2 linked regions of the Drosophila melanogaster genome follow. The protein of the gene in region 1 purifies or fractionates together with the protein of each later gene. This does not show direct contact. Each region holds a gene or a part of one and is shown on either strand. Other genes may lie near its edges. The genes, in order: PPO2 and yellow-f.

Evidence for each region.
Region 2: the proteins of PPO2 (region 1) and yellow-f purify together in Drosophila melanogaster (affinity purification with mass spectrometry, with the first as the bait; one large-scale study listed by BioGRID). This does not show direct contact.

The regions. Positions count from the first base shown.
Region 1 is NT_033778.4:9,041,761-9,046,663, forward strand, and holds PPO2 (prophenoloxidase 2), read right to left. Parts: upstream 2,950-4,903; 5' UTR 2,861-2,949; coding exon 1,877-2,860; intron 1,822-1,876; coding exon 1,726-1,821; intron 1,668-1,725; coding exon 906-1,667; intron 850-905; coding exon 637-849; 3' UTR 501-636; downstream 1-500. Other genes in the region: Ance-4, read right to left, coding at 1-51, 286-327; CG13743 (uncharacterized protein), read right to left, coding at 4,746-4,903. UniProt on the Drosophila melanogaster protein: This is a copper-containing oxidase that functions in the formation of pigments such as melanins and other polyphenolic compounds.
Region 2 is NT_033777.3:12,990,663-12,994,935, forward strand, and holds yellow-f (yellow-f), read right to left. Parts: upstream 2,540-4,273; 5' UTR 2,484-2,539; coding exon 2,321-2,483; intron 2,134-2,320; coding exon 1,804-2,133; intron 1,738-1,803; coding exon 1,082-1,737; intron 1,021-1,081; coding exon 880-1,020; 3' UTR 787-879; downstream 1-786. Other genes in the region: CG31342 (uncharacterized protein), read left to right, coding at 1-106; yellow-f2, read right to left, coding at 2,794-2,934, 3,002-3,657, 3,766-4,155, 4,272-4,273. UniProt on the Drosophila melanogaster protein: Tautomerization of L-dopachrome with decarboxylation to give 5,6-dihydroxyindole (DHI). Also catalyzes the tautomerization of the methyl ester of L-dopachrome and dopamine chrome. May play a role in melanization reactions during late pupal and adult stages.

The sequences.
Region 1 (4,903 bases):
ATTCACAAACGTCTTGGCCTCCAGGTCAATGTTGGCTGCTGCAGTTGCGCACTAAAATAAATGACAATCAATTAAAAGCAGCAAATTCACTTACAATATTATTGCTATTACAGGCTTAGTTTAGTCTAGGTCTTCTAAGTATCCTCAAACTATATAGAAACTGACACGCATCTAAATGAAACATATTTCAAACACGCAAAATTATGATTTAAAGTTATCTAAAGACCACATCTTTTTGTGGGATCTTTGTGGACCCATAGATTATTTAATCGGTACAGTGCTTACGCCAATGCCCGCTATCAGCACCAGAAGCAGCAGCAGGCCCATCTCCTCGGGAATCGGTTTCACTTTCGCACTCAACACCGGATCTGCTCGAACTGAGGTGCTCCGGCCGTGGAGCTGGCATTTAAAGCTTCTCCCGGGCGGCTGATAAGCCTAATCAGCGAGAGATTCTCGCCCGGAGGCCGAGCCACAATAATTGAGAACAAAAGTGGGATTGTGGAATGCCATGATGTCTTGTTTATTAAGCGGCTCAATAAAGATGCAATAGATTGCTAAGAGTTGTATATCTAGAAGTGGGCGAGGTCATGGAATCGGGTCAGGGCGAATCGGGAAAGCGAATCAGGTGCGGATCGTCTAGTTTGGGCGCTGCACGGTGCGGTTCTCGTGGCGGATGTTCACGTCCACGATGCTCATGTTGGGCGTGAGGAAGTTAACCAGGCGGTCGACTCCGCTGCGGGGCAACCTGTCGAAGGGGAATCCCATGGACTGGCGATCCGGGTAAAGACGGTCACGGACGCCACAGTAGGAAGCGGCATCGCTGCACCGACCCACCAATTGCTGGTCAATCTGGAGGTGGAGATAATTGTCAAAAATATCCTTGATTTACTAGCCAGCTAACATACCCTGTCGTTCTCATAGTTCGACACCATGATGAACAGCACGCACTGCAGTCCCTCGGGCAGACCCTTTGGCACCAGCATGTGGTTGGGCCAGCCGCAGCCGCAGAAGTTGAACTCCAGCTCCTCCGGAGTGCCGGCCGCCGGACGATTGGCATCCAGGTTGCGGAAGGTGCGCTCGAACGGAATGGTCACGCTCGACTCCGTGGAGCGGCGGCGGATGGTGTTGGGTCCCGGGTTCAGCGAAGTCACGAACTTGTCCAGCTCGATCATCATGGAGCGCTGATCTCGCATCAGCATGGGCTGGCCACGCTCGTCGTTCTTCGGCGCCATGAAGATGCGCACGTAGCCGAAACGCTGGGCACCACTATCGTTGTTCAAACTGATGGTATAGGTGAAGGGCAGATGCTGCAGGTGGGTGAACCTGGCGAAGACATTACCTCGCGGCAGGAAGTCGAAGCCACGGGACATGTCCACGTCCGACTGCTGCCAGAAGGTGGTCAGATTATTGGGACGACCTCCATTGGTGTCCACCTGGATGCCCGCGATCGAGACGCCCGGGTAGTTTAGTTGGTTCTCGGTATAGGCGGGCAGGCGCGACTTGTGCTCCTGGAAGATGCGGTCGATGTACGAGTGCCACTTGTAGAAGACCGGGTCGCGCATGGCCGTGGACACATCACCCATCACGCCAAAGGACTCCAGGTGCTTGCTGGTCGGATCGTGGGCGTACGAGATGAAGGTGTGTCCGTTGTTGTGCAGGTCACCATACTAGGGGAGCAATAGGATTAATCCCTAGAATAATTTACTAAGGGTAAGGACTTATTACCAGCACTCGGTTGGGCGACAGAATGGATGATTCAATCATGTTGCCGAGGGTATCAATGCCCGTCGCCTCATCCAATGGCACCCGGTTGCCACGCTCCTGAAAGGGAATATGGCATGTTATTTAGTTAATGGAAAACCCACCAACAACTCACATCCATGACAAATCCTTGGTGAATGGCCTCGTAGATGCGATCACGCCAACGCTCCAGATCTCCAATCTCCACATTCAGCTGGTCGGACTCCCGGTTGAGATCGCTCAACCTGGTGCTCTCGAAGCGCGGTGGCCACGCGCGGCTGGCTACCAGAGAGTCCATCTTGGGGAAGTAGCCCTCGGCAATGGGATCCCTCAGGTTGTTGAAGGGCAGAACCCTGGCCAGGTTGTTGCTGAACCGCTCCGCATTGTAGCGGGCGATCACCTGCTGGTGCATGTAGTAGAAGAGCTCGCCACGACGATCCTTGGCCACTATGCTGCGGTCGGAGGCCTCGAAGGGGTAGACCAGATGCCAATGCCAGTGGTGAAGGTTGATGCCCAGATCCTCGCGGAAGTACCACAGCCGGTGCTCGGGATCCAGATCGGAGGCGGTGTAGTCCCTGGGAATGGTGATGGGCATCCGGGAACCGGGCTGCACCACAAAAGACTCCTCCCGCATCTTGCGGATCACCTGCGAGTCGATGAAGCGGTCGGGGAAAGTCTGCGAGAAGGATGGCAGATCCAGGCCCTGGGTGTCCGGACGATGGAGCAGCGCCACCGACAAGGCGTAGTTGAAGAGCACCGGGTTGACCCGATCCCTGGCGTACACCGCCACGCTCTGCAGGTCGTCCACGGAGCGCATGTTCATGAATATATCGATCAGGCGGCCGGCGATCCTGCGGTGCTTGGGCAGGAACAGCGAGAACTGCTCGTCCCGGCCCAGGGACATGGGGATCCGCAGATCGGGAATGGAGATCTCCCGGACTGGAACGCGCTGCTCCACCTTGTCGCCGACGCGGCTCTGCACCTCGTTGCTGATGGGTCGGTAGCGGTCGGTCAGGAAGGAGTCGGGCACATCGAACACGGTCACCCTCTTGCCCTTGTCCATGAACACTGGCTCGGTGGGATGGTCGAAAAGCAGGAGGAGATTCTTCTTGTCGGCCATTTTCAATGGGATGTCAGGGAGGACCTGCTGGATCGCGGAGCAAACTAAATGGGGAATGTGACTGGAAGTCTGGGAACTTCACGACTGTGACTATTCACCGAAAGAACTGCACATTTTATACAAAACTTCGAAGGCACTAGTATCGGTTTTGAAAACCACAAGAACGCCTGAGAATTGAAATTGTCGACAAATTGCGGCGATAAGGATATAGTATGGAAACCGCAGTGTTGTTTTAGCATATTTCTAAAATGCAGTTTTATTATTTCAAGAGTATTTCATTTGGTTTTGCTTTAGCTTATCTATACATATATACTATTGGAATGAAATCGGATTTTGTTATCTCTGGGATATGCCTGCGTTGTAAATCAAAACTTCTCTACGCACACGATCCTCCGGTCAGATAGCATCACATCTAAACAATTTAATATAATAGTATGTATATATATGTAGCTACATGCATAATACGGCAATAATAGTTATTACAATTCGGCTATAATCGATCAATTCGTCCCTAATTCCCTACTACTGCTTTGATATACAATACATATATTTATTTAGCATAGCGCTAAAAAGAGAGATACAACGAGATATTTGGCGAGTGAAGAGATGAGCAATATCGTACGACAAGCGGATCTACATATATATAGCGTGTATATACAGGAAGTCTGTGGAAATTGTATGCTGCTGTTTCCGTTTCCGTTCTCGTATTCGTTGTGTAAAAGCGATAGGTTCAGTTGGTTAGTTGTTTAGATCTTGTAAAATGTATCTCAGAAAAGCCCTGGGCATGTCCCGTGTTCCTTGGCCATGATATGTAGTGTTTAAGCTCTTAGAATATAGAGTTGTGGGGTCTTCAGCTTGGTTCCGATCTCTCAGCCCGAAGAGAAAGTAAGAGGTGATGGCTTTTGTGTGAGTGTAAAGACTTTAATCACATCCAAAAATGCATACACATGTATTTACATAATATCGTGCAGTATAAACCAAGAGTTGTACAAAAATATATCTATGTTTCTGTATATATAAATATTCGATCGTGTTCGGTGTACATATGCAATTCAAAACAGAATTCAGTGCCGTTAACAACTCAAAACTGTTGTTCAAATCGATGTGTTGATGGGGATATATTGTAGTTTGATTTTAGTTCGGTTCAAGCGCATTTTTATCTACCCTTGTATACATATACATACATATAAAACTGGGGAATACGATCCGGTAACGTCGGGGCATACATAGTTACAAATAGTTCTCGGTACATACATATAATACTTGTTCGATTTCGTTTTCGATTTTGATTCACTTCTCAACTTGGGGAGTCGGTTGTCTCTAAGGATTGCATGTGTATATTGGTGCCCAAATAGTTTCAGACTACGCTAAAGCTACGGATAACATCTAGTTCTAGTTCGGTTTAGTTTGCCTTTGCTCGTTTCTTTCGATTCAATTCAATTCAAATCGCTTGCTCAACTTGATGGCTTCAAAGTACAGAGTACGGAGTACACACACACTTATATATCGAGGAACTTTCACTACTTTCAACAATATCGACATCAACAACGGGGATCCAACGAAATGTACACTTTAAACGACTATCCGGTGCAAATATACATGGGTTACTCGATCGGAGAGAATGCCTGGCCTTTGTACTGAGGTTCGCCCGTATCACACATCCGCTATCCGCTATCCACTAATCCAATTCAACACTGTGCCTACTACTTACTTACGCAGATACTTTGAACGTCTGGGACTCAGGTACAAGTTTCTTTCGATGCGACGTGGTGCAGCTGTATTAACCGAAGGTCAAATCAGAAGTTTCAACCCAAAAACCCAAACCATAAAAATGCGATCCCAACCCGCGCGCCCCACATCGTGGGCTGACTTCCGTTCCGTTAACTTAGTTCGAGGAGGTGGTGTTCTGAAACTCCTGCCGGCAGTAACCCATCACAATGTCCGATCGGCAGTCGCCGCCCATTAGACCCGGCAGGAGCACCGCCGCCCCCAAGATGGTCACCAGGGCTCCGAAGACCACCAGGCCCAGAGCGGGCAGCTTCT
Region 2 (4,273 bases), on another chromosome or scaffold:
CGTGGGACGCGATATATCCATTTTGGTGCAACCGTCGGATTTGATAACCAAGCTGAAAAAGCAGCTGAAGTCGCTGCGCGGCTACAAGGATTACTTAGTGCAGTAGTCACTAGCTATAACGAACGATTCCATATAACCACAAATAACTCTCAACTGTAATAAGCTGCTATACGCGAGGCAATTTCGAATAGCTCCGGGCCAGTAATCATTCCATCTTCGCGAAAAGGTCAATGAACGCAGCCACTATATAGTCAACTAGAACTGGTAGAAACATTTCGCTATATTACGTACTACACACTACATATATTAACTATGATCGAAACTACTTAAAGGACTTAGGTGTAGCGTTGAGGAACATATACAAAAGCAACCTATATATTTTTTGCAAAACTTTATATAAACTCGTACATATATATACAAATTGAATAGATATATATATATATATATATATAGATCTATATACACCATATGTATAGCTGACACTTTGAAGGGCTACCAAATTTACACCTCGAATTTGTTTAGATGCGGAAAAGTTATGAGAAATTTACAACATGAAATTCAAGTATTTTAGGTTAACATATACACGCGTAACCCTTACACACACAACTGTGCAACTTAGTATCCTTATGCAATATTGGAGTGCCTCTGATTTTGTTCATTGATGTTGTTTTCTTTCATGTTTTCATTTGTTTCGTGCGAAAAGACATACGCATCTGTCGTAACATATAAGATGTGATAAAAATGAGTACTCAAATTTAGGCAATTTTAAACGATACATATGTAAATGCTTTTTGATTTATTTTATTAATAAGTTTCCGTGTGTTATTTCGATAAACATATTACTTATGCGAAAAATTCATTAAAGCAATTCCACGCAAATCACTCACAAACTGTTCCCCTCTTGGCCAGCAATGTCGACTGCCTCCAGATTCGGAAATTGTACTTCTCCACATCCAGCTTGGAGTACACAAAGATGGGCATGGAGTTGGACATCACCCAAATGTATCCCTCCTCGTCGATCTAAAACAACAACGCACTTAACCTTCGTTTTCGTGTTACAAATAGAAAGGGATGAGCTTACGGTCAAATCGCTGGGATAAATCATCTCCGATGAATTGGAATAAACGGAGCCATGGTTTTCCGTTGAGAACGGCTTGCTGGTTTTCCAGCAGCCCACTCCACTCTTCTGGACCTCGGCAAAGAAAATCACCCCGGTCCGCGGATCGTATTTATGCATTGTGGACTGGGTGGACGGACCACGAGTTCCCAGAAGATGGAAGTCGTCTCCATGATCAGAACGTGCTGCATTGAATTCCTGCTGCAAGACCCTGTTGCTAACCACAAACTCATTCGTGCTGGCCATAGGATGGAAGAAGACATCCCTGCTGCCATCGGGCTTATATGATCCCAAGGTCGCCGAGAAAATCCCGTCGTCCCAGCGGAAGGTCTGCCCACCAATGTTGAGATTATCAGAAAGGGGATCAAAGTTAAAGAAGCTGTGCTCGAAGGACCAAATTCTATCGCTTCGCAGGTGATAGACGTGCAGTCTGCGATTGACCAAATCCGGAATGTAGGCATAGGCATCGTTGCACCTCCGAGCGCCCACATCGATTGTGATGCTGGCTAGTCCACGTCCGATCTCCACTATGCTCTGCGGAATCTCAAATCGTTTCAATAAGCGATCGTTAGCCAAATCGATCACCCAAATGCTAGGATGTCGAATCTGCTGGCGATTATCTGATGGTTATATAATATTATTTTAACCTGGATCACCTTGCCTATAAAGCAAATGATTATACTCACTGGGAAACTCCAGCATTCCGGTGTCGACGAACCAGAGACGCCCACAGACATCCACTGAGGTTCTATAGACAGACACTAGGTTCTGCTCGCTCGCATTATACTGATTCACCGCCAAGTTGGGATAGGCCCGTAGATGGGGACTCTGACTCCACCCATCCTTGGCCAGATCGATGTAGTTTAAGGTGGACGGAATGCCCGGCTGTCGCCGTGGCACGGTGACAAAGAGGCGTCCTCGAAAGTGGGTTACTCCTTGGGGCACGTTGTTGTATTGGATGAAGGATCCTGAGGATGAGGAGCCTAAGCACTTGCGGGAGTTGTAGAAATGCGAATCTTTGTCGAACGAATAATTGTGATATATATACATATTATTCGTTATAAAAGTGACGATAAAATGGTGATTAAAATAATATTCATATTACAACCATTTCATAATGTTTTGTGGAAAAACTTAGTGATTCACCGACATTTGCTGATGTTTGAAATTGAACATATTTCAATTGGATATTTTTGGAGTTACCTGGAATGCAGATCCTGTTCCACAAATCCTTATAGCCATCGCCGCGATTGTAAAAGTCCAACTGCTTCCACTTGAAGACCTCAATCATGGGATCTCCATCTGCAGAGATTAGCAATTGGAACCCTGAGATTGCGCACAGGAGCAGAACGTCCAGCGATAACATTTTATAAAATTCCGGTCGTTCGCCTTTCCTGGCTGAAAACCCACTTGTGACTGACTGACTCCTCAGCTTGGGTTCAACTGAGTTAAACGTGCTCTGCGACTCAAAAATGAGCTCAGAATGTAAAGTGATAAGAGCAGTCACTGGGATTCCCAAGCTCTTATTTTCCATGTCTCTTTATTCAACTTTTAAGATTTGTTGATAATCTGAAGAGTATATTTGTAAAGCTAACTATTTATTCGAAAATTTCGTCATTCTTACTTATGTATGTATTTTTAATTAAGTAACAAATTCAACAGGAATTCCACACGAATCACTCACAAACTGTGCCCCTCTTGGCCAGTGAAGCCTTCTGCTTCCAAATCCGGAAATTGTATATACTCGTGTCCAGTGTGGAGTAGATGAAGATGGGCATGGAGTTGGACATGACCCAAATGGTGCCATCCTCGTCAATCTGCAATAGTAAGATGAGATGTATAACTTTTTTTCTTCAACTTTTTTATCCAAAACCATTTGCTTACCGACAAGTCGCTGGGATAAATCATATCCTCGGCATTGGAATCCACAGAGCCATAGTTTTCCGCCGAGATGGGCTTGCTGGTCTTCCAGCAGCCCACTCCGTTGCGCTGGATCTCATCGAAGAAGATCACCCCAGTCCCAGGATCGTAAGCGTGCATCGTAGACTGGGTGGACGGACCACGGCTTCCGAGTACCCGGAAATCGTTCCCATGATCGGAACGTGCGGCGTTGGATTCCTGCTGCAGAACCCGGTTGGAGACCACAAACTCATTCGTACTGGCCATGGGATGGAAGTAGGCATCGCGGCTCCCATCCAGTTTCTGGGCCCCCAAAGTTATTGAGAAGATGCCATCGTCCCAGCGGAAGGTCTGGCCGCCAATGCTGAGATCCCCGGACAGCGGATCGAAGTTGAAGTAGTTGTGCTCGAAGGACCAGATTCTATCGTTTCGCAGGTGATAGACGTACAGGCGCCGGTACACCAGATCCGGAATATAGGCGTAGGCATCGCCACACTGACCCGCCTTCACATCCACGGTGATGCTGGCCAATCCGCGACCCGTCTCAGCTATACTCTCCGGAACATCGAAGCGCTTCAGCACCTGATCCGTGGCCAAGTCAACTACCCAAATGCTGGGACGGCGGATCTGTTGGCGGTTATCTGGATATGAGAATCATGATTGAGTTTTTTATATTCTTGGTCACCAAATTAGATTAATACGGATCGATCCTGATCTTTTATATTACATGTCAATACATGCCAACTCACTTGGATACTCCAGCATTCCCGTGTCGATAAACCAGAGACGCTGGCATGCATCCACGGAGGTTCTGTAGACGGACACCAGATTCTCCGCACTCGCGTTGAACTGATTAAGCGCAAAGTTGGGATAGGCCCGCAGCTTGGGGCTGCGATTCGATCCGTCCTCGGCCAGATCGATGTAATTCAAGGTGGATGGGATGCCCACCCGTCGACGAGGCATCGTGACAAAGAGGCGGCCGCGGAAGTGAGTGGCTCCCATGGGCACGTTATTGTACGGAATGTAGGAGGCGTTGGGGTCGTCGCTGTCGGCGCGGGAGCTGACCACTACCGGTGTATCGCGGGAGGTCATAATCTTACGCTTTCGACGAGAATACTTTCCAGGAAAGACAACCGGAGCTAGTTGAACAATAAAAAAATAGTACATAAGTAAATACCAATAAATCTATCTAACAAGGCTCGCGAGATTGCTATTGCTGAATGAGAACTAGTAATATCATATTATGAGTACTAACCT